2 linked regions of the Zea mays genome follow. The protein of the gene in region 1 interacts with the protein of each later gene in a pairwise test. Links are inferred from orthologs where the notes say so. Each region holds a gene or a part of one and is shown on either strand. Other genes may lie near its edges. The genes, in order: Transcriptional corepressor LEUNIG_HOMOLOG and Transcription factor bHLH128.

The links.
Region 2: the proteins of Transcriptional corepressor LEUNIG_HOMOLOG (region 1) and Transcription factor bHLH128 interact in binary tests that used the Arabidopsis thaliana proteins (3 or more experiments, as listed by UniProt). The link is inferred for Zea mays from reciprocal best matches to the Arabidopsis thaliana genes LUH and AT1G05805.

What each region holds. Positions count from the first base shown.
Region 1 is NC_050100.1:223,737,372-223,753,691, forward strand, and holds the start of Transcriptional corepressor LEUNIG_HOMOLOG, read right to left. Parts: upstream 7,125-16,320; 5' UTR 6,855-7,124; exon of another isoform or gene 6,850-6,854; intron 6,744-6,849; 5' UTR 6,734-6,743; coding exon 6,702-6,733; intron 6,609-6,701; coding exon 6,511-6,608; intron 1,211-6,510; coding exon 1,101-1,210; intron 1,016-1,100; coding exon 723-1,015; intron 603-722; coding exon 527-602; intron 426-526; coding exon 314-425; intron 1-313. Other genes in the region: uncharacterized protein LOC100283457, read right to left, coding at 12,486-13,173, 13,269-13,366, 13,467-13,475. UniProt on the Arabidopsis thaliana protein: Transcription repressor subunit of the SEU-SLK1 and SEU-SLK2 transcriptional corepressor of abiotic stress (e.g. salt and osmotic stress) response genes, by means of an epigenetic process involving histone modification (e.g.
Region 2 is NC_050098.1:171,113,392-171,129,708, reverse strand, and holds Transcription factor bHLH128, read left to right. Parts: upstream 1-7,661; 5' UTR 7,662-7,863; coding exon 7,864-8,254; intron 8,255-9,246; coding exon 9,247-9,620; intron 9,621-9,756; coding exon 9,757-9,888; intron 9,889-10,044; coding exon 10,045-10,110; intron 10,111-10,238; exon of another isoform or gene 10,239-10,270; coding exon 10,271-10,339; intron 10,340-10,470; coding exon 10,471-10,527; 3' UTR 10,528-10,881; downstream 10,882-16,317. Other genes in the region: uncharacterized protein LOC100275661, read right to left, coding at 11,340-11,352, 11,491-11,658, 11,771-11,869, 12,099-12,139, 12,267-12,388, 12,945-12,981.

The sequences.
Region 1 (16,320 bases):
TACCATCAATACAAAATTTATATATTGAGATTGAACATTTCAAATGATGAGTGAGATTTAACTCCAACAGTAGTTACATAATATTACAGTTTTGTTGTACTTTCTAATTATATTAGAATAAAACTATCACAGGCTACATTTAGGGGACCATGACAATGTTCATAACCAACTTGTTTAATCATTTGCAACTGGAGGGAGTATGTATCTGCAGGCTGCAGCGGTAAATGACTGGTGTTCTAAAGTAATGTCTTTATAGTGAGTGCTAGTTTGGCAGCATAGGAGGAACTCACAAGAAACGAGGGAAAGGGCCCACCTGCACCGCTCAATCCAGGTTTAGGTTGAATTAATCCTTGACCGTATAAAGATGATGGATCCATGGGTAAAGATCTCTGGGGTACTCCCATGTTACCTTCACTCTTAATATCCTGTTAGAATTTAGAACATTCAGGTTATCAGTGCATATGTTCAGTGAACTAGTGTAAGAAATTGCGAAGTGAATAGACACATGATGGAACCAATAACCTACAATCGTTTGCTGATTCCGTGCCTGGATTTGCTGCAGAGTTGTAGACACATTTCCAGGAGTCCCTGGAACTAATTGCCTAATTGCACAAAAACAGTAAGTTCTGTGAGTACCACAAATGCTTCAGTTCTAAGTTTCTAACTATCTTTCTTTTTCCTTTTATATAAGTGTGTAAGAGAAAATGGGAGTTGGTGAGCACCCTGCATGGTTTGTTGCTGACTTGAGAAGAGCCATTCTACTAGCTTCAATAAGTTGTGATCCCTCAGACTCCATTGAATGTGGGTGCTTCAATCGCTCTTCATACATCTTGGCAGCTAAGACACTAGCTGTTGATGGCCCCAAAATGCCCTCAGAATTTAAAGCATTTATTGGACCATTAAGTGAAGGATGATTCGCGTTAGTTCGCTGAAGTTGAGCATGTCTTTGATGCATAAGTTGCAATTGCTGCATCTGCATCTGCTGCTGGTGCTCTCTTGCTTTTATTTGCTGTGCCTATTTCCAACAGAACATAGATTCACACTCGGTGAGATTAAGAAAAACAAGAGGTGCATTGTAGATTAAGAAATCACAAAGCTACCTCTAGATATGCCGCTGCAACTTCAGAATGCTTTTCATTTGTCCTTGCGATGAATATATCCCAAAAGACAGACCACCACTCAAACAGAAACCCTCCAGGAGCATCAATTGCTGCATCACAATTCACAAGTCAAGCATAACATAGTCACACTTATGATGGATTCCTGGGCAAACAAACTAATGGAGAGAAATAGTTACAAAAATATCACATGAATGCATGTGATCTTGGAATGGGTAGGCATCCGTCACATATATCTTTTTTTTAACAAACGCAGGAGAGTTGTGTATCATTATATTAAGAAGAAAAAAACATAGGAGAGACAGGACTTGTCAACCCCTAATACAGAGGCCCCTAGGCCGAGACCCCCCTCACAATAACACAACGCGCCACGCACACAACAACCCGACCAAAACGACCACCAACAGGCAAATTGCTAGGGTCCCCTAGGGAGCTGGTGCAGGAGGAGGAGGTCCTGCAGAGCTGATGCACCAGCCAAACACCAAACGCTGCCCTCCTCAATCACAGCACTCTGAACTCGCTGGGTGCAGGGCACAACCCCCTCAAAAACACAAGCATTACGGTGCTTCCAAATCACCCAAGCGACCAAAATGATCAAGGAATTAAGACCTTTCCTTAGACTCTTCTCCACTTTCTTGATACTTTGGCACCACCAATTTGAGAAACGAGTGCATCCAGGCTGAGGTACAATGGCTAGGAGGCCTAAATTGTGTAGTATGGACGTCCATATTTGCCGAGCGAACACGCAGGAGACAAGAATATGCTGGATGGTTTCCTCGGCCTGATCATACAGAGGGCAAGCAACTGGATGGGGCAAACCTCTTTTTGCCAGTCTATCAGTTGTCCAAACCCTGTTTTTGATTGCCAACCATACAAAGAATTTGCATCTTAAGGGGGCCCAGGTCTTCTAGACACGTCGCCAAGGGCCAAAAGGGATAGAGCCAACAAAGAGAGCATCATAGGCCGATTTGCTACAATAAGTACCATGGGCAGAGAGGCGCCAGATGTGTTGGTCTGCGATGTCAGGTTGCAGAACTACCCCATCAACCAAGTTCCATAGCTGCAGATACTCCACTAGGACCGTTACAGACAATCCTCCCCGAATATCTGACACCCATTGACGATTTGTGAGCCCCTCGGCTACTGTTCTTCGCTTTAAAGCCCTTCTAGAAATCATTTGGATCAGGGTTGGACAGTGTTCAACCACAGTTTTACCAAGGAGCCAACTATCAGACCAGAACTTCACAGATTCACCACTGCCTACCACTGAGGTAATAGCCACATCAACGAGGGCCTTTGCATTACGGTGCACTCGGATAGGGAGACCAGCCCATGGCCTTGACGTGTCAGTCTTCTGTAACCAAAGCCACCTGGCACGTAAGGCCCATCCAAACATCTCCAAGTTGAGAATACCCAGACCACCATACTTGAGAGGCCGCTGGACAGCTTCCCAGGACACAAGGCAGTTACCTCCATTTGCGTCACCTTGCCCCTTCCAAAGAAAGCCTCGTCTCCTCTTATCGATTGCCTTAAAAACCCATTTAGGGAGTTCTAATGCAAGCATAAGATAGATAGGGACAGAAGACAGCACTGTCTTAACCATGACAAGACGACCAGCCCAGCTGAGAAGATTGGTTTTCCATCCTGGAAGTTTATCAGCAACTTTATCAACAAGTGGCAAGAGATCAGAGTTAGCAAGCCTACGGATTGATAGAGGAATCCCCAAGTAAGTGCAGGGAAAAATTTTTGTAGCACATGGTAATAAGGCAGAAATGGTGGTCAGCTCATTCGCTCCACATTGAATGGGTGTAACAGAACTTTTGGAGATGTTCGTTTTTAGCCCTGTAGCATGACCAAATATGTCTAAAATGCTGATAATTGCTGAGATATCCTGATGAGAGGGCCGCATGAACAAAACAACATCATCAGCATAGAAGGAGATACAATGTTTGGCATGTTGATTTGCAATCGGCTGGAGGATATGTTCCCTGAAAGCATAACTGACCATCACATATATCATCGTTTCATACTCGGTCCTTCGCTCCTTACTCGGTTTGAGATCTTTACAAGATAGCATCTTTTAGATACTAGGAATGAAGGTTCTAAACCTCTAATGTAACAGCAGTTGTACCAGTTACCCTTTTCGAATATCCTGTCTTTCGTAAGCAAGAAGTCTATCTTTGACTGATGTGGCAATGGTACATTGGTACTATTTCGATAACCATTTTGTAAGGATATTTATAACAGTTTCGAAACTGGACTCTACCCTATTTGCTGACATTCTAGTCCTACCATACATCTGAACAATATGCCAAATTATATTGGCATTGCTTGTTGATCAATGCATGTGGCCCCTGAACATGAGATCCGCACTTCAGATGATAACTACACTGCATCAGTTATTACCTATCAAATCAAAATCTCAAGAAGAGCATGCCAGTGGTGAGAGTTGTCTCACTGAGTCACCAGGCCGCGGGTTCATAGCAGCCTCTCCGCATTTGCGGGGGAAGGCTTGTCTCAGTTTATCCCTTCCCCAGACTCATGCAAAAGCCTCTGGCACTGGATCTACCCAAATCAAAATCCAATACACAGATCGGTGGTTTCTAGTGCACATTTGCATATAAGTTATGGGGATCCAATTTTGCTACACAGCTGCAGTTTTCTTTATCAGAAATGAGTTTCGCAGTTGCCCTACAAGTGTGCCACCCAGTTACATCTATACCTGTTAGACAGATCTCTGTATATGGCAAATGCCTTGCTGTATATGGTAGTGTAGAATATGGTAGTCTCTGATAGGAGATTGATATGATTGAATTCCTGCAGGATCTGTCCATATCCTGCAGATCCTCTAGACGTAGGAGGTTTCCTTTAGCCTCAAGTCTCTCTCCCCTATATATGTACATGTATCATCTCCTATTCAATACAATCCAATATTCCTACCAGTCTTCTCTGCTTCCATGGTATCACGAGTTTAGGTTCTACACCTCTTCACGCTTCCGCTCCAACGCGCCTCATCATCGGCGATGCTTCATGGCTGGCGTTCCCTCGCGCCTCTCCACGCCGTCTCCTATGCAGACACCGTTGACTCTGGGCTTCTCCAAAACACCGACGCCCAGAACACCGCTGCTGCCGATCTCCTGTGCATCGCCCAGGAGGATCACGCGCGTGTCGCCCAGGCTGCTCGCATCGCCGTACTAGCTCGCGTGGCCAATGCCGACCAGGAAGCCGCTCTCGCACAGCAAGAGCGGGACGCCACAGATTCTCGCGCTCGTGTGGCCCGTGAACGTGCAGCTGCTGCCCCTCCCCTCCTGGATGAGCTCGCCACCTCCACCGATGACTCCGGCGATGGCACTCCTCTTGGCGGTGCCACCTCTTCTCTCCTGGATGCGACTTTTCTCTAGCACGAGGCCACCACTCTGCTCAATCTTCACGCCCAAGCCGTTGACATGCAGATCATCCACGCCCTCGTACCACTTCTTCTCGACACCAACTCCAACTTTTGCGCCCGATGGTGTGAGTCTTTCCTCCTCACCCTCACCAAGTTTTCTCTGGAGCATCGTGTCCTCTCCGACGACGTCGCCTCACCAGACTGGGTGCGGATGAACGCCGTCGTCCGCACCTTGATCCTCGGCACCATCTCCGACAACTTCGTTGATACGGTGTCTCAACGTGGTACCACTACCCGTGTTCTGTGGCTCTCCATCGAATCTCAATTCCTCGAGAATCGTACGCCTCGTGCCCTCTATGTAGACCAGGAGTTCCGCTCTTTCTCCTAGGGTGATCTTCCCGTTGCCGAGTATTGCCTCTGCTACAAAAAGCTCGCCGAGGATCTCGGCGAGCCCGTCTCCAAAATATCTGAGGGGCAACAATGCAGCGTCTGATTCTAATATGTATTAGAACAGATGACACAATCATTACATAAATCTCCAAAATGTAAGTTATTATGTGACCACGCAACAGGGTGTATGCTCCGTTGCAACACATGGGCATTTTGCTAGTAAAAGATTAAAACAACTATGCTGCTATAGTTAAATTAGCACGTGAAAACCAAATGTTAATTTCTAATTTTGGCATGTATGATTTTGTTGTAAATTGAAATCCCTATATATAGGGATGAAAACAGGATGGACATTCCCTGGTATCCATCCATCTAAAACATGTTCAAATACTAAATGGATAATCCGTATATGAATCCAGCCATTTAATATATGTACTGTATCTGAATCTGATACTCAAAGTAAGATTTCTCATATGTAGGATGGGCATCAATATTCAACGATATCCATATCTAACTCCAAATCCCAGAATGAAACTACATGTATTTGCATCCATATCTGTAATATCCATTCATATCAGGTTCAGTTTCATACCTAGTACGAAGACTCCCAGTAGCTTTCCCGAAAAACATATTAAGAACAAACAATAATAGTAGTAATCCAGCAAGTTTGAACATTCAGGCAAAGCTTTGGCACTTGAGAAAAGCATAACATGTTGAGATTATTCAGTTAAATAGCATTAGCAAATAGCAGCAGCATTTAGGTAAATTGCCACTGATAGCTTAATAGTTAGTAGGGGCTATACAGATGGATCATGTTTGCTATATGAGTGATACTCATGCAGCTTCAGCTCTGCACGCAATCATAATCTGCAACCCATCAATACAATAACACCACCCACTTAACATGTACTAACGCAAGCTATTATCTAAATAAATGTACTTTAAACAAGAAAGCAAGAACGAGAATAGTAGCAGATATGAAGTGCACTATTGCATTTGGAGTTCTAAATTTATTACATTTCCACTAAAGCACCTCTCGACAACACGACAAAAGTTTAGTAACATCACAGGAGGCATCACTTCCCGCTTCCATCGAATTCATGTGTATTAGCATGCAAAAACATAATGGCACACCGCCAGTCCCCTCAACAACGGCAGCTAACGACGAGCATTATCTGCTTAGATATGAAAATAACATCCCGCCATTTCCGGCGAAGAGTTATGCACCCATCTCTACTAAAGCTTCACAGGCTCCTTTGAACTCTCACGCCCACAATATTGTTTCAGAACCTCTCCGCTCAAATTTTAACAAAGCTCTCCAAACCAATTTGAATTGCCATTACCTGCACTCCTGTTTACTAAAACCCAAATTGTAGATCAATTCAGATTCCAACCATGTGCCCTACTTGAGACAAACACACACAAAAAAACCTATGGAGTATTCCATACTAAAAACTCATATCAGAGCTGAAAACACAGCCCACTCTATCTAGTTCAAAATTCGAATTCATCGCCAGCAACCAACAGCTAAACTCTTGTGCACCGTCACGAACAAAACCTAACCCAGCAACAAATGAGGAAGGGCGAAGCAACAGAAGAGAAGGCAACAATTACCAACTGGATCAGCAGCAACCTTTCCCTCGGTCATGAAAGCCTTGGCCGTCGTCTGCAGGTTCCTCTTCAGCAGGTAGTCATAGATATACACGTCGAGCCTGCACCACAAGAAACGGAATCAACCCGGACCGAGCGAGGGGAGCAAAAATTTGACAAGAACAAGCGGGGAGAACACATCAGAAATCACTCACATCTTATCCGCTTCCCAGTTGCTCTGCGCCATTCTGCGACCGCTGGCCGAAGCGGAACGGAACAAAAGAGGCAAAAGCAGCAGAGATTAGGGCCGGGGGCAGGCGATTCGGTGCCGAACTCGAAGGGGAACAAGGGATCAGAGCCCACATTACCGGCTGGGCGGGATCTCGCGGCCGAGGGAGCGGGGTCACAGACGGCCTCGAGAAACTTTTCCCGCAACGAGCCGCCGTGCGGGCGGCGAGCGGGGACGGGTCCAAATGCCCGATCGCGGGTGGCCGCGTCGGCGAGCTCGGCGGCGGAATTAGGTGGTGGGTGGAGAGCGCGCGCGCGCGGCACGGTGGTGTGAGCTGCCCTCGCTTCCGCCCGCGCCGCTTCGGAAGAAGCGAAGCGGAGTTACTAGTAGTCTAGTAGTAGTAGATGAGAAAGAAAGGGAGGAGAGAGAGAACGGGGTAAGCATAGCATAGCAGAGAGTGAAGGAGAAGAGGCATGGGTCGACTCGGCTCGGTAGGGTGAGCCAGTACTCCGGTTCAGGAAGGTTCAGATGACAGGCAGGCAGGCGTCAGACAGTTTTGCACAAAGATCCTCGACTAGACTAATAATTACTCGTACAGCAAGTATTTCGAAATTCATATCCCTGGTTGCGAGGACCTTTAAATAAATTTTTGATGCAACAACCTCCTTTTTGAAAAAGAAAATATATCTTCTTGATGATGTGATTGATGTTCATATAATAATATAATGGTAGCAATAGTATTGTTAGGAATGGAGATATTTGTGCTAGCTCGTCATATTCCAAACGTGGAAGGGCCAAACTGCGATTCGGCGTACGTACAGAAAGAGAGAGAGAGGGAGAGAGGTTCGGAGGCAGAGGAGTAGGCTCGGAGGCGTGGGGATTGGAGGTGCTTGATTAGGCCCGGATTACCATGACCCAGCTGGTGCGCAGGGCCAAACACCGCGCACGGGGCCTGGCCAACCGCGTGGAGCGAGGCGATGGCTTGGCCGGCAGCGGCTGGCGGCGTGGGACGCCCGCTGTTCGCCAGGGGATTCGTGAAAGGCGGGAGGAGGAGGGTGACCTCTCACACACACAGTGACCATGTCTCGCACGTTTTTGTGTGAGGTCCCTGCGGTCTTTTCTTTTTCTTTGATGTATGTTGTGTTTACGCACTTCTTTTTTCAGAGAATATCCTTGCCTTGCCGTGATTGTTGCTACCGCAGCGTTGTTTGGCTTCGCTGCTCATGGCAGCTGATCAATCGAATGTGTTTATCAGGTTTTCTGTCAACGTCAAAAGAAAAACGTTATATATAAAATATATAAAAATGGAAACGAAACAGTAAAAAGGTGTCCTGGCAAACACTAAAAGCCTAGTAGTACTCCGTATGCCGTGGCCACAGCAGAGACCACAAGCACAGGATGCGGTGAGGCCACCCCGAGGCTGCTGCTCTGGGGCCTGCGTGTTTATACGGTACGGCCAGGCAGCGAGCGATCCTCCTGCCTGCGCCGCGCGTGAGGTGGTTGAGTGGAAACAGAAGGCGGGCGGAGGAACGAACCATTCCCATTCATCTGCTGCTGCCTCTCCTGCTGCGCGTTTGAGTTTCTACAAGCACTGCTCTCCTTCCTTTTTTACATATTCTTTGCCATCGCGATATCGGCTGGGCATGTTTATTTTCGTACCGCTAAAGTTTAGCAGCTACTGAAGTTTTTACTAAACTTTAGCATTTGAGAGTTGTTTAATACAAGTACTAAATTTTAGTACATTATCGCTAATTAATGTCAGCTTTACAATGAGGACCAGTACAAGAGGATCATATGATCGTTTGGGGGAGACAGAGAGCAAGGTATTGGGTGGTGGAGAGAAAGCAGAGAGAAATAGAGATGGGGACCACTTTTATTATATTTTAGTATCTTTGGTGGAGCTAAGGTATTAATAGATGCTAAACTTTAGCACAACACTTTTAGTTGTCTTGTTTGTTCTTTACTAGTAGCTAAATTTTATCAAAAAGTATAGTACTAAACTTTTTAGCAAACTTTTTAGCAAGGACACAAAGTGGGCCTAATGCTTAACTAACAACTACTATTTCACTAATTAGTTAAAGTAGTTAATAGCAACTATAAGATATTAGTTAGCTAACTGATTTAAGCATAGACACGATTATGTTAGATTGGATTTCAATCCTTTTTATACCACGAATAGAGCTGAAGAGAATTTAGCTCAATGGCACTATTTGCCATGACTACAAAGCAAAACTCCAAAACAAGATAACCAGAGCCAGCAAAACTCATTAAATCCAGAGTTGTAAACTCCATAGAGTTCTAAGAGTTGTCATATAAATTTTTAGAGTACCTCTTTTGTTCCTCCAAAATCTTCAAAAACAACCTATTACCTATACATAGAGTTGGAGTTAACTCGTCATTGTTACTGGTTATAAGAAAGCAATATAAACTCTAGAGCAGACCTGCTCCACCCAGAGTTTTATAGTAGAGTTACTCTTTAAGTCCATAGAGCGCCTTAGAGAGCTTGTACACATGGTCAGGGTATCTGTCATCCTCGAAGCCAAGGGTTGCTCCACATACACCTCTCCTCCTTGATTGGCTCATTTAGGAAAGCACTCTTCACGTCCATTTGGTAGAGCTTAAAAGAATGATGAGCAGTATAGGCTAATAGTATACGAATAGACTCAAGCCTAGCTACAGGAGACCTTTTACCTTGTCTTGATTCTCATCTCCAAAGATGATCGTGTCATGAGAATCCTTATTCTTGACGTAGGAGGTGAACATGTTCTTCTCCCCTGTCGTGTGGTTTGTGCATCCGCTATCAATGATCTTGCTTGAGCTCTCAGATGCATAAACCTACAAGATATTTAGGCTTAGGATTTAGGTCCCTAACTTGTGTTGGGTCCTATCAGGTTAGTTACATAAGATTTTGGAACCCATGCAAGTCTTACCTTTCTTACATTTTGGTCCCACATTTTTAACAACAATTTTATCATTCTTGCAATGAATTACATAGGATGCATCAAAAGTATGGAATAGAATAGAAGGTCCATGCGATGCATTCCTATCCTTATGCGCATGACAAACATGGCGTCTAGTTTTACTTCTATTAGAATCACTAGATGAAGCAAACATAGTGCGAGGAGTAAAGATACCATCATGACACATTGGAAAATTAAAACTACCATTACAAGTATAGTGAGCATTATGAGAAATGTTCTTAGCATGAGAATTAAAAAAAACATGGTTCTTCTTTTCATGAAAAGAATGCAAGCTACTAGCCATATGTGCCTTCTCCTTCTCCTTTGTAAAGTTGAGGGCCTTTTGGCTGTTAGTGTTCTTGGTTCCCTTTTGAAAACTAAGTCCATCTTAATGGATGGATGTCTACCAATGGTGAAGGCATCCCTACCAAATTTTACTTTCTCTACTTCATTTTTGCAAGTTTTAAGTTGAACATTTAGGGCTCGTTTGTTTCTGCTGGAACAGACCAGGATTAATTCCAAATCTCCAAAATTATAGTAATTATTGAAGGAATCCAAGCCAGATTTATTCCACCCCTTCATTCCATGTGAAACGAACAGGCCCTTAATTGAACAATTTCATCATTCAACTTTGCAATAGTAGAGGCATGATTACTACAAAAGCATCAAAATCATGGTCTTTACATTTAGCACAAATTGAAACATGCTCCACGGATGAACTAGCAACACTTAATTTCTCTATTCTAGCATTTAAATCGATATTTAAACTCTTAAGTCTAGTAATAGATGAATGGCAAGAATACAATTCAAATGCAAGCATTTCATTCTTATTTACTTCTAAAGCAAGAGATTTTTATACTTCTATTACTTCATCATGTTCCTCATAAAGAAGATCCTCTTGCTTTTCTAGCAATCTATTCTTTTCATTAAGAGCATCAATTAATTCATTAATTTTATCTATCTACCTTAGATTCATCCAAGCCCTTCAAAAGATTGTTAAGTATACTTATGAGTATCACATGTACGTACCTTCTTCTCTTTTGCCATGAGGCAAGTGTGATGTGCATTGGGTAAGAGGGGGGACTTGTCAAAGACAGAGGCAACAAGTCCTTCATTGTCAGAGTCGGATGAAGAGCAGTTCGAGTCTCAATTCTTGCCAATGTGCGCCTCATCATTCTTTTTGTAGAACTTTTTCTCCTTCTTCCCTTTCTTGTCTTGTTCCTGGTCATTCTCATTATAGGGACATTGAGCAACAAAATGACCAGACTTACTGCACTTGAAGCATGAACGCTCTCCCCTTGATTTGTTCTTGTTGGGGTAGTCCTTGCGTCCCTTCAATGCGGTCTTGAAGCGCTTGATTACAAGCGTCATTTCCTCCTCATTAAGTCCAACTGCCTCAACTTGTGTCACCTTGTTTGTAAGCGCCTCCTTGTGGGTTGTTGCTCTGAGTGCAACAAGTTGCGGCTCGTAGTGAGGAAGATGTTCATTAGCGATGTCGTCGACGTACCTTGTTTCTTTTACCATCATGCGCCTGCTTACAAACTTACCAAGAATTTATTTGGGCGACATTTTGGTATACCTGGGGTTTTCACGAATAAGATTAACAAGATGAGGCTCGGTAACGGTAAATGACCTTAACACGAGGCGCACGACGTTATGATCCGTCCATCTTGTGCTTCCATTGCTTCAGATTTTGTTCATCAAGGTCTTGAGCCTGTTGTACGTTTCAGTTGGCTCCTCATACCCCTTCATGACAAACCTCCCCAGCTCGCCTTTCACCAACTCCATCTTGTTGATCATTGTGGCATCATGACCCTTATGAGAGATTTTAAAGGTGTCCCATATTTGCTTGGCATTATCTAAATCATTAACCTTATTGTATTAATTCCTGCATAGAGATGCTAAAAGGACAATGGTAGCATTGGCATTTTTATGGATTTGCTCATTAATAAATATGGCATTATCATTACTATCAAAATGCATTCCATTTTCTACTACTTTCCAAATGGTAGGATGAAGAGAAAATAAATGACCTTGTATTTGAGTATTACAAAGTTCAATGGTTGTTTGTTTCATGAGAATTAAAGTTTATGGTTGTATATATATGTTGTATATCATCTTGATGAACAAGTTATGTAGATCAATTAGTATTTACTATGGAACATGAATTGAGAAAATTACAAATGACCTTATGATTTTTTATGTAAAAACAATAAACGGTTTATATGGACGGTTCAACAACAAAAACCCATTTTGAATTTGTTCAGATTTGGTTTGGATAAACCTGTCGGTTTTGCAGGTTTAAAGTGTTGGTGGGTAGCGTTTTTTTGACACAAAATGGTTTGGTGATCATTAGTGTTTGACACAAAATGGTTTGGTGATCATTGGTGTTAATAGATGTTGCAGCGCTGCACGAAAACGAGTTTAATTTGGGTTATTAGTTTCGGATTAAAGTCATCCGAGCGAACCAAACTGGCGCATGTATGCACGGTAAAGCGTCCTAGATTCTAGCTCGCGGGAGTAGCAACAATCAAACAAGCGATTGGCAGCAGGAACAATGCATAGCTGACGGATTAAAACATGTAGTAGCGAAGTAGCGAACGTAAATTAGCATATCTCACCAAATTAACCGCCCATAGAGTAATACGGTGGGCAACAAGTCCGGCGGCCGCAATTAATGCCAACCCAAATAATCGCACGAACATATCAGGAATAACTTCTCCAATTTTTTCCATACGGCGGCGGCATCAGCATGCAGATGACAAATTCCAATTCCCATGGAACCGGAACGCGTTCACAGCCTGATTCGTCTAGCCCTGCTGCATCGTGGCGCCGTCGCCGTGGCGCTCCATGACCCGGCGCATGGCCAGCGCCGCCGCCTCGCTGGCCCGTAGCGTACCGCTGGCCATGATGGCCGCGAACTCCTTCATCACCTCCTCCTGCACCTTCCCCCTGGCGCTCCCGAGCGGGTCAGCCGCAGGAGTAGGGGCTTCCTTCTTCGCAGGCGCAGGAGTAGGAGCTTCCTTCGAAGCCTTCTCCGCCGGCGCCGGCGCTTTTCGCTCGGAAGCGGGAGCCTCGGTAGGCGCGGAGACGGAGGCGGGCGTGGGCACGAACTGCGTGGTCTGCGGAGCGACGTTGCTCCTGAGCGTGGACTCGAGGTTCTGGATCATGGGCATGATGAGCGGGCCCATGGGGCTGGACATGACCTCGGCGGGGAGGTTGAGGATGTAGTCGGGCACGCCGGCGCCAGTGCCGACGAGGAACTGCGCCACCTCGTGGCTGAAGTTGTTGCAGTTGTGGGTGAGCAGGCGGTAGGTCTCGGCCGTGTACCGGGGCGCGATGTCGCGGAGGTAGTCCTCGAACACCTCCCGCGGGATGTGCGTGACGCCCAGCTCCACCACCCGCAGCGGCCGCCCGTACGGCGTCGTCCCCGCGGGGGACGACTGGATCCCGCCGCCGAAGTAGTACTCGTTCCCGTACACCACCACTCCCGTGTGCCTGCCAGGTCCGATTTGGTTTTGGTTAGGCGATGGCTGGCGCGAGGTGGTTCAGATCCGGGAGGAGGGGAGGGTCTCAGGCTCAGGATCACTCACCAGATGGCCTCAATGGGCTTGCCGAGGAAGGAGGTGGACAGCTGCCGCGCGAGGCCGTTGCTGAGGTCGTACACGTTCAGCGTCACCTTGTACCCCTCCTGCCGTGCCGCCCCGCCATTAACGAACGCAGCGTCAGATCTCTATATCCTTCCATGGATCGTCGAGCAATTGAAAGCTTGTGTGGGGGTGGGGGCTTACCTCCGCCATTAGCCGATTCTCCGTGCAGAGGGATTGGATGGAGGTCGCGAAATCGCAGGGAGGACGAGGGGAAAAATGCCTTGGAGAGAATGGGCGGTCAATAAACGCAGCTAGAACTCCGAAACGCGTGGATCTGGGCGGAGACGAGGCGAGACGACAGACGAGGGGGTTGGGCTTGGTTCGATAAATAAAGCGACACGGTTGTTAGGTTAGGTCAATGGCGGAAGCTTCTGGAGCCGTCTGGTCCAAATTAGAACGCGCGGGTAGGGGACGGGAAGGGAAGGGGAGGGAGGAAAGGGGGTCCGTTTCGCTTTCGCTGTTTGGGTATCCACTTTCCAGGAAGCTCGCGAGGCCGAGGAGTTTGGGAGGGCCTGCGCCCTGCGGGTTGCTGGTGGCCGTCTGATAGGAATCGGGTGGCCAGAATAGCGACGGGCAGGGGCGGGGCAGGTTGCTTGGAGCCATTGGCAATTTTGCCATTATCATTTGTGGGCTTCGCCATTATGCCATCGGACCCACAAATCATAGACACAGATGGTCCCACCAGTCATAGACACGGGATGACATAATAACAAGCAGCCAAATTTGAGAGTGGCAAAACAGCAAATTTCTCGGTTGCTTTCGCGTTGGATTGGATTCCAAGCGTGTGTGGCGAGAGAGCGGGGATCTTCTGGAACGGAGAGGCCTCCCAGTCCCAGCCGTGCGCACGGCTGGACTTGGACTTGTGCTCGTGTTTCCTCCGAACCAGTCCTGGTGTTTGGTTTCGAGAACAAAACTCCAAACACTCTAACTCTGGTGGTAAACTTTATATAATTTTGGAAGCTGTAATATAATTTTTACTCCTCTGATATTAAAAAAGAGTAAAATATATTTTTGGTCATTAAACTTGTTGCCCTATGTCACCCTATTCCATAAACTTTTAAAATGTGTTAACCCGGTCCTTAATCGTTGTTCACGTATCAGTTAGATCTAAATGTGTCTTGGTTGATATATAGACCCCACATGTCAGCCTGTGTATTCTCTTTTCCTGGTTCTCTCACCAGATATGCAGAAAAAAGAGAGAAAAGAGATACACAAACTGACATGTGGGTCCATATGTCAATTACGACTCGTTTGGATCTGACCCGAACATCGATTAAGGACTAAGCTGACACACTTTAAAAGTTTGTGGACTGGAGTAACACATGGCGACAAGTTTAAAGACCGGAAAATTATTTTACTCCTAAAAATAACTTAAACATGGAGTTTGAAATATTTATCCACATTACCACTGGATAGACTCCGGTGCAGAGCTGTTCGCCTGTTCCATCTAACTCCAACCAGCTCCGCTCCATGCAAAACGTAGAGTTTACCTCAACTCCACCAATTTAGTGAAGTAGCAAAACATATGCTTCATGAGTTCATATTTCCACTGTTCTTGTGGAGTTGATGTAAAAAACCCAACATAATACTACTCAATACTCATTACACAACATATTAGTTTGTTTTGTTTAAATTTCTTTTGACTGTTTCCCTGCGCAAGACCAACACAAGCACGCAGAGGTACTCGTCGAACAGGTTGCGACAAATGCCACACTGGCGTAGTCTCCGGGTTGGCGAAGGTGAGATCAAGGTTGTACGTCGTGGAGGCGTCCAAGTCAGGGGAGTCATCAAGGTCGTCCATGGACTCAAGCGAGAGGTGGCAGAGCCGCAGAGCAAGAAGAAGAGGCCCTTACCCCTTGGGTCGATAGGGACAACACGGAGTGGAAGAGGTGGTTGTTCGAGACGGAGAGATGCTTGTTTTTAATACTTTTAAAGTTAAAGTTACCCTATAAGTCAAACAAGTAGAAAATTTAATGAACTCTATGTTGGAGCTACTCCACAACAGAGTTGGTGGAGCATAGATAAAATAGTGGAGTAGAGCTGTCCTAAACACCCTTTTAGCATAGAGTTGCTTTGAAGTGGAGCAGAGTTATACAAAATTCCGAAGCAGAGCTTCTCCACCTAAAGTTTTAGTAGAGTTGTTCTGAAGTGGAGCAGAGCTATGCCACACATGTCACGTATCCACAAGCACCACGATACCCGAGAACTTTGATATCAAAGTGGGGCTTCTCATACACCTGTTTTTTGTCACATAAATTGGGCACTAAAATAAATGTGTCAAAAACATCGACAACAAATGGGGTTTCTCAGTCCTAGTCATATTATGGTAATGCCGATAAACTCATATCCGAGGAAAATACTGTCACCATCCTCATTGCTTGGTAGATCGGCTCTGGGCATGGTCGGACAATTCGCGCACGATCACGGACCGTCCGACATCTTATACCGGACAGTCCAGAGTCGCACTGAGCCTGCCACAAGTCTCGCAGGCAAATCCCTGCACGACCGCCTCCAACTAATCGTCCGACACCTTACGTCGGACAGTCCGGAGTCGCACCGAACCTACCACAAGTCTCGCAGGCAAATCCCTGCACGACCAGACAATCCGGACTTCAGATACAATACCAGACTGTCCGGTCCCTCTACGGACCGTCCGATCACCAAGATCGGACTGTCCGGGTGTGCATACGCAGACCAGGGTACTGCGTGTTATACACAATCTTCATGCTCCACCCCACCTGCAGCACACCATAGTCGCAACATGCCATCACTCGCGCATGAGGCCGAATGTCTTTCATCCCCTGCAAAGCCAAAAAAATATAGGTCGTTGAGCTTGTTTGGCCTACTAAGGCCAAATCTGCTGCTCGCTCTCCCCTGCATTTGGGACAAAAAGGAAAAGTTAAGTTCACATTTAATGTTGCTAAGTGTGATAAAATATTTGATGAGATACTTAAGAATGGCAACATTAAATTGTTGCACACAAATCCTCCGATAG
Region 2 (16,317 bases), on another chromosome or scaffold:
CTTATCTCCTCAAAAACCCTGTGGGAAAAATAAGGAGTACACAATGTCCTTTGGATAATGAGAATAATCTCACACGAACTCCAAAAGAAAATATGCTTGTAATCATCATTCGTAAAAACCCCCTTGGGGAAAAATCAATGATGAAGCATATAGCTTAGTTGATATTACCCCCATTAAAAACTTTGGATGAGAAAACCTTAACAAGGCAAAACTCATACAAAGAAAAGAGTGTAATATGATGGATCAAAACAGGTCAAATATCATGGAGAATTACTCCCCCTGATCCTTGCAAGCACTTAAGTCTTCTCATACCAATCACATCAACACATTTCTGAAAATGTTGAGTATGGTGGAGATTTTGTGAATAGATCAGCAAGATTATCACAAGACTTTGTTTGCAATATGGATAATACAATTTAGGAGTAATATGCTTATTAATGTTGCTCCTGATATAACCTGTTTCCATCTGAACAACACAAGCTTAATTATCTTTATAGATAATTGTCGGTGGTTCAATTGAACCATGGTACGACATTGTTCTCCAATGGACCTCTAGCCCAAAGAACAATAATATGTCTATAGCCATCATCTCAAAAACCCTGTGGGGAAAATAAATGATGAGACATATAACTCAGGCTAATATTTCTCCAAGATAATCTAGCCAGAAAATCTGAGAAAACATATCAGCTGAGTATCCTTAAAAACCCAGTGGGAAAAATAAGGAGAGTAGTCACACTCTATTGTTGATCCATTTGAACTCTAGGGAGATAAACTCATCACCTAGTTCAAATACAACAATAACTATGTCATAATGTATCATCCTCGAAAACCACTATGGGAAAATAGATGATACGACATAGGCCTTGTGTTGATGTTGCCTCGTTAAAAACTTTGAATGAGAAACCCAAACAGGGAGAAAACTCATGCAAAGAAAAGAGTACAACATGATGTAGAAACAAGTTCTTCCGATCAAAAGGGAAACTCCCCCTGATCTTTACAAAACACTAAGTCATCCCATACATACTCTCAAACACATTTAAAATGTGGAGTAAGGTAGAGACTTAGTTTGTAACTTGTTTTTCATCTAAACAACACAAAGTAATATTATCTTTATAGATAATAAGGTCAGTGATATAAAAATCATGACCACCACATACCCTCTGTATGTAGTATATCATTCTGTACAATCCCACGAAGTGTGCTAGAGAATGATTAGTGTAAGTGACCATTAACCTCTGTTGATTGATATTTATCAAACAGGAGGTCCAACTTACCAGAAGTATGCCATTGATCTTGTACCTGGGGATCTTCTATAGATATCCAAGATCAATATATCCAAACATAAGGAGAACATGAGTATACCTGGAGATCATAACTCGATCTCATGTGCTGTTAGCTAGCAAATCTTTGCAAAGCAATATCCTGTCGGATGCTCTTGCAAGATACAATAGCACATCTCATGATCGGAAAGAATCAAATAACAATGATTCTCTCATATTGAATTTCTTCAATATATGTTGGATATAGACAATTTTGTATCCAAGATACTCAAGATAGTTTACTTTGAATTGAAAAACTCTTTCAATTCATATCCTCTATCTCGAACTCTGTCGATAAGTAATGTATGTTTAAAATACGCTGCACATATTTACACTGAACATACCATACTTTGTGTATCCTTTCAGAAAGAAGGATTCACTAGGTCGAATGTACCATATTTGACCAGGATGCTCTAAGTCACAAAGACTTTCCAAGCATTGCAAATTTGTGATTGGTGATTATGTATTTGGAATCTTTCAAGACTCCACATATACCATAATCTAGTGACCACATATGCATATGTTGTCACTACATCTATCAACTGCACAGATAGATGATTTACTGCCCTTTGTATTGTATCGGAATTTTACTACTCACAGTAGAAGAGAATTTATAGCATTAAAATAATGCTTGGGTTTGCGTATAAACCCAGTTGCTACTAGCCATGCTTTCTCACCACCTCATTGTTTCCAAGTCCATGAAAACAAACTTGTATCCACAGTAAGATACCTTGAAGTGAAAATAAGTTAACACTTCTTTCCGGTGAGCAAGGCTATCTCTGCAACATTGTATCACTCAACAAGATCCAATTTGAGCATACTCGTGCTCTGCTATGGCCATAGACTTTTGGATCACTTGGAGCGCATATACAATTGCTGAGATGTATGTGTCAACACTTGTAGCTTTTAAATAACACAATTCTCCAGTTGACATGAAGTCATTTTCTTATGCACCCTTATGATTTCTCGTGAAATCCCAAAACGAGAATAAAGGGCTTCCGATAACCTAGCCTCATCAGTGCGCACTGAGCTAGGTTGTGAATGTCTTCCATTCACAGGATAATCAATATCCTTTAGGTGTCCACCAACACTAGGTTAGTTACCAACGAATAGATGGTCTGCATTTACTATCTCAGAAGGTCTTGCCTTCAGCTGCTTGCAAGCATCTTAATCCCAGTTTGTGTCCATACTTCTCCCCCTCTTATTTACAACTACGTTGCAATAGGGAGTTAAGTGGTTTTCCATGTAAACACTCTTTCTGGCACTTTCACATAGGATTAATTTGAGTGACACCTTTTAGTAAATGCACATGGCAGTCAATTTGCAACTTCTTGCAAATCATTCGAACCTAAAGGTTCAGTTTTAGTACGTGATCCTGAGCCTGAATGCTTACTGCATTCATTATAATTTCCTGGCATTCATTTTGGTACTCGAAATCTCCCCCTAATGCCTGGAAAAGCTCATGATTCAAGCAAGCGTACGGGCCGTAAATAGATTCTCATGAAGAGATTCTAAAACTTAATGATCGACGGAGAATAAATTCTCACATAGATCCCCAGCTTTCTGTGTGCCCATACATGTACGCTGCGGTGGTGAGATTGGGAAAACATACCCAATGTACGCATGGGAAATCTTTCATGGATTCCCACGTACTAAAAAATCGTAGGGGAACTTGTACATGTAGTACATGCAGTTAATCACAAGTCAGGAGCGTGCAAACTTCCTGACTCCAACCATAACTGGTTGGAAATGACAATTCATTACAGATGGTCATTAATGATCTGAAATTTTCGAATCTATCACAGATTCATCATATCCTTTATGGATATCATTCTGAATACCAAAACAAACAATCATCATTGTAAGCACATTTGGTAAATTCAGTAGTGTGGAGGCTAATGTGCTCAAGTTGAGACATTATTACTTAATGGTCATGTGTTGTCCGAAGAACACACTTCAGGTCATCATATAGATGCACCAAATAACCATATAAAGCCTTCAATGTCCATACCATCTATGTAATGGACCACACTCGTTCTTTTGAAACAATTCAAAGAACTTAACCAAATCAGATCAGATTTTAAGATAAGAGGGACTTAAAATCTCATTCCCAATGATACTCATCAAGTATCTATCTTATGGGAAAAACATGACCAATAGAATTGTTCATAACTTTTCATTTCATCCCAACAATGTGATGACCAATTCAATCTTACCCGCATGGTAAGTAACATCACATGAAAAGTTTAACAAATGCAACACATTGTACGAGAGGATGTATGTAGAATACAATCCATAAGAAATGTTTCCGAGAAACACATGCAATATCCATCACTATCACTTTATGTTTCCACATGATAGAAATTATATGGATATCTCTATAATATGGTAAGATAACAATTAGGATGTATCAACGCATCCTTGATACTTCCAATACCAAAAGGGGATATGATAATAACATATCATGATATCACGCGAAGCGATTGTCAAAATATTCTTTCCTCTTTCCAAAGGAATATGAGAATATTTTGTTTCCCCACTTATAGAGTTTGTGGCTCAATTCTCCACATTGCATGTTTCTTCCTCAATTGGAAGAATCCCCGTACAAGTTTGCACAACTCAAATCAATGAGTCATCAACTCCCTTGATGAGTTCGTTCAACTCTAATCGATGAGTTTGTTCAACTCAAATCACATGAGTGATCAACTCCAATTGATGAGTTTGTTTAACTCAAATTCATATGAGTTTTTACACTCAAATCACATGAGTGTGTTCAACTCACATCACATGAGTTGAACCTATCAATTATGAGATTATACCAAATCTCATGCATCATTTAAATAGTACTCAAAAGCAAATCATCTAACAAAGTGGTCTTCTCTTAGAAAAAGAAGTGTTGTTACATGATTAGTCCAAATCATGAATTACACAACTAACCACTGTTATCATGTCAGATGGAAGATTGAAGTACACTTCATATCTTAGCTTTCATGAGTAGTATGCATCTATTGGTATTTCATATACAAAATTAGATGCTTAGGCATACAACACTATACCACGTATAGTGTAATGACAAAAGAGTTTGTCATACTCATTGCCCTTCCCTTTTTAATGTTCTTATATATTTGCTTTCAAGCAAAAATATTTGAATACAAAGTGTTAGTCTACAACATAATGTAGACACATACTCATAAGTCCACAAGTCTTATGATTTTCTTTGCTATTCATTTTGGGCTTGCACATCAAGCCACAAAAGCACATTAGTTCTTTTCATAAGAACCATAAGAGAATGAGAGCATCACACTTCCTCCAAAGTGAAGAAGTGAATCCCCATATTATGCAAAAATGATCTTTACATCCAATGAACATATCCAATGAACATTGATGATAATTAAGCCCAGTAGGCGAGTTCATCAAACTCTATTAAATAATTATCCTCCAAATGGCTTAAACATTTTCTGATGTTATAATATGTCGCAAAATATATCATATCTTTATATGCTGGAGAACTCTAGGTATCACATAAAGTGTACCAAATGATTTTTGAAAATTGGTGTACACAACGTAGATAATCTCCATGTAATGAAACAATGGAGTAGATCTCTCAGTAGTGGGCAAAACTTTTGCTGCCTGAAAGCATGATCTCTGGGCTGATATATTCAAGGAACATACCACAGCCAATGCTTAGGACTCCACTACCCTGTGCTTGACCAAAGTTTTAAAAAAATGGTAATCACCATAAAGGTGAATAACCAACATCACATCTCCAACATATTTACTTGGAAGAACACATAGGTAATCATCATAGCCATATGATGTAGACCTCTTACTGATGGGCAAATAACATTTTGCTGTCTAAAAGCTTGGTCTCAGGGCAAATAAATTCCAAGAACTTATTGCAGCCAAAGCCTAGATCTCCATCATGTGTTGAACAATCCCAAGTTCAAGATATGTATCATATTTGCAAGAATTCATCATTTAATTAAGTAGAACTTAATTAAAAGAATTCTTGTAGCAGTCACCATGACTGCAGCGTCCAGCCTGGCTCCATGGCCCACGACGCCTACATGGTCCGTGATCTTTTTGGGTAGCACGTATAGGTAATCATCTCGAAAGATGTAGACCTCATAGTGATAGGCATTTCAAATGCAGCCTAAAGCACGTTCTCTGGGCTACTAAATTCTATAAAAAATTTAGCGCAGCCAGTGCTTAGGTCTCCATCACCCTATGTTTTCCCCCCCAAAATGCAACCTTATTTTGCATGAGGACCAGTGAGTTTCGACTTATTAATGTGCTATGTTTTCCATGCAAACGTAAGAGAATGCAAAAACAAAAGCAAGTCAAAATTGTGAATTATAAATGTAAATAGAAAATATAATTCACTAACAAGTCTGTAATTTCCATAATAAAAACAGACAAGTATGTACAATTATATATATCATCATCAGTCTAAATATGCAAATTTAGATGTACAAATAATGATACACTCAGTAATTTATACGAACACATAGTTCTTGTGACTGAAAAAATCAGAAATTTTAAATGATAAACATGCCATTTAGGCCAATCTGGTGATGTGGGGGCGGCCCGGACGCCACCAGGCCGAGGCGGCCCACGCGGCCAGCCTCAAGGCCAGGGCGGCCCAAGCGCCCATTAAAAACGGGGGGCGGTTAGGGTGTCTGAAACCCTAGCCGCCCCATTCCCAGCCGCCGCCAGGGAGTATGGCCACCGGCGCGCGATTCGAGCCGCGCGTCAGTGAGTTCGCGCGCGCTGAGCGCCAAGCCCGAGCCTCGCTCACTCCGTGGCGGGTGGAGCAACGCCCGTGATGGGGTCGAGGGCGGCGTCCGTGACCGAGCAATGGTTGACCGGCATCGACGCCATCGCCGGCCGCGCCCGCACCTGCCCGGGATCCAGGGAGCGCCCGCGCCGCGGCGGTGCTCGCGGCCGAGCCAAGGCTCACGCCGGGGCCGCGCCCGCGCCGGGGAGCCATCAGGAGAGCGAGGCCTCCCATGCCTTGCCCGCACAGGAGGCGGGTTGAGTCGCGCTGCCCTGGGCCACCGCGGCCATACGCCAGCGAGCCGGAGTCCTTGCCCGCACTAGAGAGATGCGTCCGCGACCGTCGTGGCCGCGACGCACCCGCGGGGTCCATCCGCCAGGACAGCCGCTGGCTCGGTCCGCGCCGCTAAACACCATGGGCGTGGTGTGCCTCAGCGCGCTGGCCATGCCGGGTGGATCCGCCCGCCAGTCCTCACGCCAGCGAGACGGCCGTCGCCGTTCTTCGCGCCAAGCAAGCAGCCACCAGGGGCTCCTGCCCGCGCCTGCGCCCGCTGTTGGGGCCGGAGTGCGCCCGCGCCCGCTGCCGGGGCCGGTGCGCCATGGTCCGGTTGGCCTATGCGCGCGCGCGTGCCTGCGCATGCCAAGCCATGGTCGGGCCTCGTCGGGCGCTCTGAAGCCGTTGATGCCATGCTTGGCCGATGGTCGTCACAAAGTTCTTCACGCAAACGACGAATGCAAAGATGAACAGTAGGATCAATACCTTCCTGTTGTTCTAGAGGCAGAGCCCTCCAATTTTCTTCAACAGCGAGTGATGCCTTCCGATTCTTTCTCTCTAACAGAAAATTCTTTTTTCTCTCACGAGCAGTGTTGATAACGTGTTAGAACTCAGTGGTAACGAGATTGAAAGAGATAAATGATAGAACTGTTGTGTGTATTCCATAGATCATTACACTTATATACAAGTGAAGGGGTGTATCCCAAGAGGTATGTCCCTTGAGAAAAACTGTCGCACCCCTTAGATTGATCATATATGTAATATTTTGTAACAAGATTTTTAATAGAGCAGTATAATAACTAAGTGTGATACTAGTAGAAAATATAAAGCCGCAAGTATACTAGTGTCCTGAATAATATCTGATCCTGATGCAGCGTCAGCAGCCAGCAAGGCATCCGATCTGATCCCATCCCCACCGAACAGTATCCGTCTCGCGAGGGCAAAGGGTCAGGGAGAAAGTGAAAGAGACAGTCACAGGAACGGGCCTTCGACCCAGGCCCGGAAAAGCCCAACAGAGAGCTAAGAGCAGAGTAGCAGTCCGGTCAGCTTCGCGATTGTGAACGCACGCACACGCTGCAAGCATGTCGGCTGGCCTGGCACGCACATGACCGTCTCCTGCGGCTGACTTGGCGCCCAGGTCTCGGTCCACCTGTAACCCCCGCCGCATCTTCCGTCTTCCCTGTGTTGTCCATCTCGGGTGGGCCCCACGCCCGAAACCGGTGCGTGCACCCGCCCATCCACGAACGACCATGAGACCTCTGATCCATCCCCCCTGGCCCTGCCCCCCGGACGCCGCGCTCAAAAGCAGCAGCGCACGCACCACCACCACCACCGCACCACCATCCGCCTCGCTCGCACTGACAGACAGGCAGGCAGAGAGAGAGAGAGAGCGCGAGCCGGATTGATTGCCGAGGGCAGAGCAGCGGCAGAGGGAGCAGCAACAGCAACAGTCCACGACCGATCGCCCGGCCCGCGCGCAGGCAGGCAGCAGCCATGAACCACCTGACGCCGGCGCTCCACGGGGCGATGCGGCCGCCCTCGGCGCAGGGGCAGGGGCTGGCCCGGTACGGCTCCGCGCCGGGCTCGCTCCTGGCCGCCATCGCCGACTCCGTCACCCGCGGCGACCCCGCGCCGCCGCCGCCGCCCGTGAGCCGGTTCTACTCCGCCGAGTCCTCGGGGCTCACCTCCTGCGACTCCAGCTGCCGCACCGACTGCGGACGCCCGCCCCTCGAGCGGGCGTACGGCGGCTCCGGCGAGATCCGCGTGCCGCCGCCGCTGCAGCAGCAGCAGCACCACCTGCTGGCTCCCCCCGCGGCCTCCCCGCTGTTCCGCCACAGCAGCTCCCCCGCCGGGCTGCTCTCCCGCCTCATGACCGACCCGCACGGTGCGTATGCTCTCTCTCTCTCTCCCTTGCGTAAGCGTAACTCCATCCAGCTTGCGCTTGCTGGGGTACGTGTCTCGGTCGTCGTTTTCCGGCTTTGCCGTGATTAGGGAGGCAGGCTAGGAGCACGTTGAATTCGAACCCAAGGTAGGAGTAACAGTAACAGTAACTAAACTGCTAGAGTAAATGGCGGTAGCTGTAATCACTGCGCTTTCGGCTTCAGCTAAGCTAGAATAATACTAGAGTAAATTAGCATAACGTTGGTCTCGCTGATTTGGTTGGTTGGCATGTGCCCGGCGGCCGTTGTATAGAATAATACTCCTCTCCAGCTCCAGCTCCAGCTCCAGCTCCGAACGAGACGCGAAGTCGATCACCCACCCACCGGCGCACATGTCCAGCGTTCTCGGCTCTCATTAACAATGCTTCCCTAGCTCCCTTGGTAGTGAATCCGTGCCGCAACATCGTTCGTCGCACAGTAGTACGCAAGCGCAGTGCAAATGCAACGCACCTTGCCGAAGAATCCTATCGCGACCACAGTATGAAATTAACGTAAACAAATACACGCGGATTGGTCCCGTCCCCTCCATTGTCTGCTCTTTCGGTTTTCGGAAAGGCGGCCTATATGCTGCCGACCTAGGTGACGTGAGGGCGACCGTTCCTGGCCGTCCCGCTGCGAATCCGGCTGTAGCTACGGCGAACCTGCTGGGGGCTGGGCAGCGCTTGTCAGCAGCACTCACCAGCCGTTCATCCAACTACTTTCTAGCTAGAACGCGATAAAGAAGAAAAATCATCGATGGTACAATGTTCTTGTTTTTCTTAAAATGAAAAAAAGGAAGAAAGCGTGAAAAAAAGGAACGATACTACTAAAATAAATATACCAAAAGAATGCCTTTTACCTCAAGCTCGACGAACAGTCGCTGACATGCGGGCACGGGTCAGCTATAGTCTACCTGTTTGACGTGTGTTCGACGATCTTCCGGATGCGCCCACTGCAGGAATGGCGGCGAGCGGAGGAGCGATGGGGAGCTACACGCAGGCGGGCAGCGACGCCGCGCTGGGCCCCGGCCACGGCCACGGCCACGCGCAGCTCAGCTCGCAGTGGAGCTTCTCCAGGCAGGACCTGCCGCAGATCTCGGAGATGGGGATGATACCGGCCGACATCGGGGAGAGCATCGTGGGCGCCGGCGGGTGCAACAGCTCCAGCGACGCCGCGCAGTCCTCCTCCTACCTCTCCAGGACCTTCTCCGTCGGCTCCTGGGACGACACCAACTCCATCATGTTCTCGTCTGCCCCCTGCAAGAAGCCCAAGGTGGACCCCGCCGCCGGCGCCGACGACATGGTCACCAACTTCAGCACCATTGACCCGCAGGTCAGCGCGCGCCGCTTTCCGTGCCTAGCTCTGGCCTTACTTTGCCGCTCCCCGGCGTCATGCATCATCGACGGCGTGGTTCCATGCTGACGGGAGTGAGCTGTTTTTTTTTTGGCCTTGCTGTATGTATGTCCAGTTCGGCCTGTCCAACTCGTCCCTGGAGCTGCCCGGCATGGACGACTACCTGCAGCTGCAGCAGGACTCCGTCGCCTGCAGAGTGCGTGCGAGGCGTGGCTGCGCGACTCACCCACGGAGCATTGCCGAGAGGGTCAGTTCATCTACTCGATCCTTCGGTCCTTCCCAAACGATTCGCTAAAAAAAAGCACGGCGCAATATATGGTGCCACACTCTGCCAGCTTTGATGCTAGCTGGATGTCAGCACAGAAACCAATTTCGTTTTCCTTGTTCGCTGGCGTACGTTCAGGAAAGAAGGACGAGGATCAGCAAGAGGCTGAAGAAGCTGCAAGACCTCGTGCCCAACATGGACAAGGTAAGCTGAGCTTAAGATCTGCAATGAGCCATAGCCATTCATTATCGTCATCCGTAGATTTTTCCCGTGCGGGATTGCTGAACAACCTGTTCTCGTTGTTGTTCGTTGCCATCGCCCATTTTCGTCAGCGTGTTTATTGGTGTTTCTCGTGAACACGCAGCAAACGAATACGTCGGACATGTTGGACCTTGCTGTGGAGTACATCAAAGAGCTCAAGGACCAAGTTGAGGTACGTACGTATCGCTTGGTGTGCAAACAAAAAATATATATATATTTGTGACTTGAGTCTTTATCTCGACATGCCTACAAACAAAAATACACTATCTCTTACCATGCCTAAAAAAACATGGATCCTTGCAGAAGCTAAAACACGACCAAGCAAACTGCTGTTGCCTAGGCAACAAGAGCTGCTGCTGATGCTGGAGAAGCAGACGGAGGAGGGTTTTTACGCCGTAACAATGTGACTGTTAAACCAGAGCTGTTGCTTCAGGAGACCAGGCCGCGGGCAGAAGTGCGTGACATGTGGAGCGGCTTCCATGACTCAGCTTCCTCTTTTCTTGGTTGTTCCACGGACTAGCGACCGGGGTGCCAACGGCTTGAAGACTAGGAGATAACAAGTAGGACGATGTTGTAATTTAGTTACCGCGACGCGGTGGCTCTGGCTTTCGTGTAAAGAAGTCCTCCCTTTCAACGCGACTGGGATTGTTGTTGCTGGTAAAATTGTTGTAGGAATATCATCTGTGCTCCATTTTTCATCGAGCTCATCTTTTTTTTTGTGTGTCACTGGATTTTGACAAGACCGTAACTCAGAAACCGAGCACTGACCGAGCGTTCATGCCACCCCATACGAAGTCCAAGAGAATTTTAGTATGACAACTTGAGCATTATTCAGCTTTTTTTTTTCTATGCAGCATTCTTGTTGAGCAAAAACGATCGAAGAAACTTTACACGGTCGGTCACTCGATGCTGGGCATGGTACCAGGTAGTAGCTCAACTGATTTTCTGACTCGGGTGACGAGTTTTTTTTGTGTGTGTGTGTGTGTTTATTTATACATCAAACGTTGAAGAACAGAAAAGGCTGGTACAGTCAAAGCCGCCAGGCATAGTTTCGTATTGGCTATACGGCTGTGTGGAACTGGAGTAAAAAAATAGCGTCGTCAAATCTTGAGCTGCTCGCAGTTACGCAGCTGTCCTGTAGAAGAAGCTTAGGCAGCGCAGCCCCCGGTGACCTACACACCTCGCCTGCAGATTCCACAGGGCCAGGGGAGGGGGGTGTGTTACTGGTTCCGAGCTAGATGAGAGCACTGAAGCCAAAAGAGCAATCTAGTAGTGCAAAAAAGCCTGCCTATTGTCGGATTCTGTTCAGTGCAGAATACTTACAGTCTCGATGATTGTGTTCTTACGAGAGATGGCTGGAGTGCGTCGTAGTGCCCGTAGCCGTCGTAGAGAACGCGGACTGGATCGTCCTTTCCGTATTCCTGGCCGTATTCCGCTATGATCCTTGGGCCGTCGGAGCTGCCCGTATACATGTAGACGGTGATGGGCATCCTGCAACGCAGCGTTTTCTCAGTCTCAGTCCTCGCTGACCAAAGTGACCATAACGATGTGTACAAAAGAAAAGGGTTACACTTAGCACGGACAGGTTGGCCACCATACCGACCTGAGAACGTGGGAACACATGAACAGCTCAGGTTCCCCTCCCCAAGCATGAGGCTTTCTCATCTGTCTCACATAACTCTCAAAGCTGCCTTCAAGGAACCTAAGATTGGAAAGGAGTTAATAAGACATAGTCGTCTTTGTATATTGGGAGCTGGAGCATGTTCTTTTGACATTAGATCTTTATTAAGGATGGAAGGACATCTATCAACAAATTAAATGTGTAAAGTTGCTGTATGGGAATATATAGTCTGTATGCAGAAACAGATAGTACGTCCATGGAAACTAATAATACATATATCATAAAAGCAGTAATGGAAAGAGGATGGAACCATTCGGTGTCTCCTCTTCGCTTGACGAACTCATCAGCTACCTGGAACAGATCAACGGCAGGTTATTAGCACCAACAAAGACGGTGAGATTATTCCATTCTGTCGAGATGCACGGAACAAGGACGCGCTTAGTAATAATCAAGAAGCCCAGGTGTAACGGACACTCACTTTGGCTCGGAGCTCGTCGGCCAGTTCCTTCTGGGCGCTGTCGCTGGGCGCATGCTTTCCTCTCCTCAGGCAGGCGCCGTAGGCGACGGACCTGAACAGGCATCGACCGTCCCCTGTGATTCCTGCAGTTAAACGTGAGGGGCGGCGTCAGTGAAATTGATAACGCGTGTTCTGTCGACCAGAAAGAACCTCTCGATGATGAACACCTCCATGGGAGCCATCAGATGTATGGCGTTGCCCGCACATAAAGAAAACATGCAGTGTTGCTTTCGGCTTATAAGATTGGTAGCGTGGATTGTTAGGAGGAGATTATATTATCTGGTTTCTGATTTTAGCAAAGGATCTCTGAAGGTGCAGCTTTAGAACTGCTACCATAGTACCATTATATACAGACATGCATACGAAAGCAGAAGGATGTGGTGGAATTAGAAAAGGCATCTTGCTGCTACGCCATTGGTAGCTTATCATTGTTACGGTGTCTTTTTGTATGATGCAGGCACTTTTATTCCCGATCGCGTCCAAGACCAAACCATCTCTGATAAACAAGCCAGGAACCGCTACTAGAAGGAGCAAGGAATCACCCTGCCTGCCTTTCGATCGCCGATCGCCACCAGAAGAAAATTAAAAGAAGCCCATCTTTTTTACCGCTGCTAGAAACGGACGGCGTTTGGAACGTACTGATGGAGCGCAGGGGGCGGAGCTCCCGATCCGACATCCGCCGGTGCAGGGCGCCGGTGGCGACCGTCGTCTCCTCCTGCCCCTGCCGCTGCCGGGGGTGGAAGCAGGAGGGCGCAGCGAGCACGGAAGGAGGAGCTGCAAAATGGGATGGGATGGAATGGAATGTAAAACAAAGCGGGGCAGGGCAGGGCAGGGCAGAGGGGAGGGGAGGACGTGAGGCTGGAATTGGAATTGGAATTGGATTCCCTCGCGGCCGCTTGCACGCCTTTTCCGCGGCCTCTTTCGCTCTTCCGAACTTTTTTCTACCGCTCGCTCGGTTGAGTGGAGACAGTGGAGGTGGAGCCGTGGAGGCCTCGCCTTGCCTTCGGTCCATCGGAGCCGTTGTCTATCGTTCTAGCAGGCTTGCTTTCCCGCCACAAATAATTGCTGGCCCGTGGGTTTCAAATTAACCTCGTGGTCATGGGTGGACGGAGATTAAAGCAGCAGGAGGGCAGTTGATCCACTGACCTGTGCAAACTGTAGAGGTAAGGCCATGCATACCGAAGGAGAATACAAATGGTTTGATCAAATTTCTATTTTTTTGTTATTATCTTGCTAAAAATATCTAGAGAATTATTTACTTTACTCTACTAATAGAGAGACCGGCACTCCGGCAGTGTTAATCATATAATTGTGAAAGAACAATATATAGGGAAAAAACTCCTGTAGTGGCGGTAATGTTTTAATTTATTTGACTTTATCGCAATTATGTGGTCTTTACTTTTAAACCAATTCCATACAGCTTATTTTTAGGGGACCTACTGGTTCCATTCTAGACTTAACAAATAAGACAGAACTATAATCATAATATCTAGTTAGGTTACCCTACCCGCATACAGTAAACAAAACTCTGTAGCGGGGTACCTTACCAACAACGGTAAATATTGGAAGGGCATGGGCAACTCCATTTCCAGCGTACACACTGTAATACTCAAAATGGTGTACAAGAAATACATAGAGGAACTCCTTATTTTATGTGCCATATTTGCATCATAAAAAGAGCACACATATAATTGAGAGTGATTAATTAAAACAATGATACTAAAATTAAAATATATATATATATATATACATCATGTTGAGTTTTATGTGTGTGCATTTGTTAGTAATAAGATATTTTTTATACATTGATGTCCAAAATAAAATTTAGACTTAAGAGTTAAATTTTAGAATTGGAGAAAGAAAAGAAAATATATACAAAATAAATATTATGAATAGGGTAATAATAGTATGTCAAAATTATACTCTTAATCCAAGGAAGAATTAACACATGGTTGAATTTGAATTTGAATTCAAATAAAAAGGAAAAACAAATCAGGAAAAGAAATAAAAAGGTGAAAACACTGCTTGGGCCAGCTCAACTTCATTTCGGCCCAAACGCCTTCAACCACGCGGCCCATCCAGCCCACCTCCCTTCCTGTTGTTGCGCCTGCACGTTTGGGCACTCTCACTGACCGTTGGGACCCACGGGTCAGTCCCACACCCCCTTTCTTGGGCGCGCGCGGTGACCCTGTCGAGTGGGCCAGGCCATCACGGACTCCTTCTTCCCCGCTGCGAACGCCGCACATCACCGCGCGGACTCCGTATTCCCCCGCGCAACGCCCGTCCCGTGCATGTCGCGTGGGCGGCCGCGAGCTTCGGGGCTGTTTAGCCGCCGCCATGCCTACAAGTATCGGGTCACGACCACCCCTTCCCTGTCCATCATCACAAAGCACCGGGCAGGCCCTGAGCACACCTCGCCGTGAGACAGAGAGTGGGTGCGGGTGGGGGAAAGTTCCGCCACCGTGGAACTCGCGCACGGTACAGCTCGGGATTCAACCAGTGGGTCTAGGGGCTTCGAATAGACGCGTGGATGGCATGGTTACGCTTCGGGCGGGCTTGACGGCGGGGTCGTCGGTGAATTGCTCGCCGTTGCTGTCGCACCACCGTGAATCCGCCCCTCGCCGTGGCCAGCGTCGTCTCGGCAGCCGTCTTCGGTGAGTGCCCTTTCCTTGCGTCCGCCATACCTAGAATTGCATGACGCGCGTTTTAGATTTGAAGCTGGGGCCCTCCTGGACGGGATGGCCAAAGTCCGGCCATCTCTCCGTCGTTTGGGCCAACGGCGCCGCCGCGTCAGTAGCTAGCTTGGGGAGGCAAGCTCCGGACCGTTAGATGTTTCTCGGACGACCGTGATTAGATGGAGGGACAAACTAGAGTGAACCGTGGATTCGCTGTTGTGCGGTCCGGATTTAATTGGGGATGTAACGTCGCGCGGATCTGTGGTGGCCCTTGGATCACGATCGGGCGGATCCGGCAGGGCCTCGGCTACTTAAAATCTGGATCGTCAGTCTCTGATCCGAGGGACGCCATCGCATAACGTTTCATAATAGATAAGTTCTAATCGTAGCCGTCCGTTGTTGATCTGGCGGCCAGTGCTCTCCGATACCCCTTCGGCCTGCACCTTTTGCTAAAGAGACCCTAGGGTTAAAGGATATCAACCCGCCGTCCAGAGAGTGGAGTGCTGTGCCTGGGAAATTTTATGCGAGCAGCCCCTGAGTTTTCTGGTTATTGAGGCCCCGTCCAGAATAGTTTTAACCCGAGAATTTAAATTTCAAATTGATTTTCAATGTATAAATAATGTCTAGAACTTCAATAATTCATAGAAAATGCATATGAACTCCAAATTACTTCATTCCAGTTCCTAAAATTTTGTAATAATGTTGTTTATTACATAGCACCTCTGTTTTAACATGAAGATGGTATTAAAATTTATTTCTTAACTAATCTCGTATCAAATACATAAAACCTTAGGAAATTCGTATCTCATTCGTTTTAAATCCGATTTGACTCATTCCAGTTGCGTTAGTATCGTAGCAACGCGTAGATTATTATTACTCAGTTTATTCTTATGTTTGTTGTGATGTTAATTTTGCCCATACACTGTTTGTTTGTATTGCTACGAATAGCAGTGAGGTCACGTGTCACCTGAAGATCATCCCGGTACCTGGAATCTCAAGTCCCAGGCAAGTTGTGCCCTTGATCACTTCTTTTACCTACTCATGTTCTGATTAATCATAATGATCTGCATAGGTTAATTTTGATGGGACCCAATAGGTCACCCTAGTTTGTTCGTCCTGAATACCTTGTTTACCCCTGAATCACTTGGGTAGTTCTGCTACTGCTTTATATGGTTTTGGGTTAATATTTCATTACATCTATGTTCCAATTATGTTGTTATTCTATTTATGTTCATGACAAGATCATTAAATGTTAATTGGAACATAGAGCTTAACTTGAGAACCACGTGCCACCACAAGGGTTTAATGGGACGCCCTTGGCTGACTAATTAGGAAAG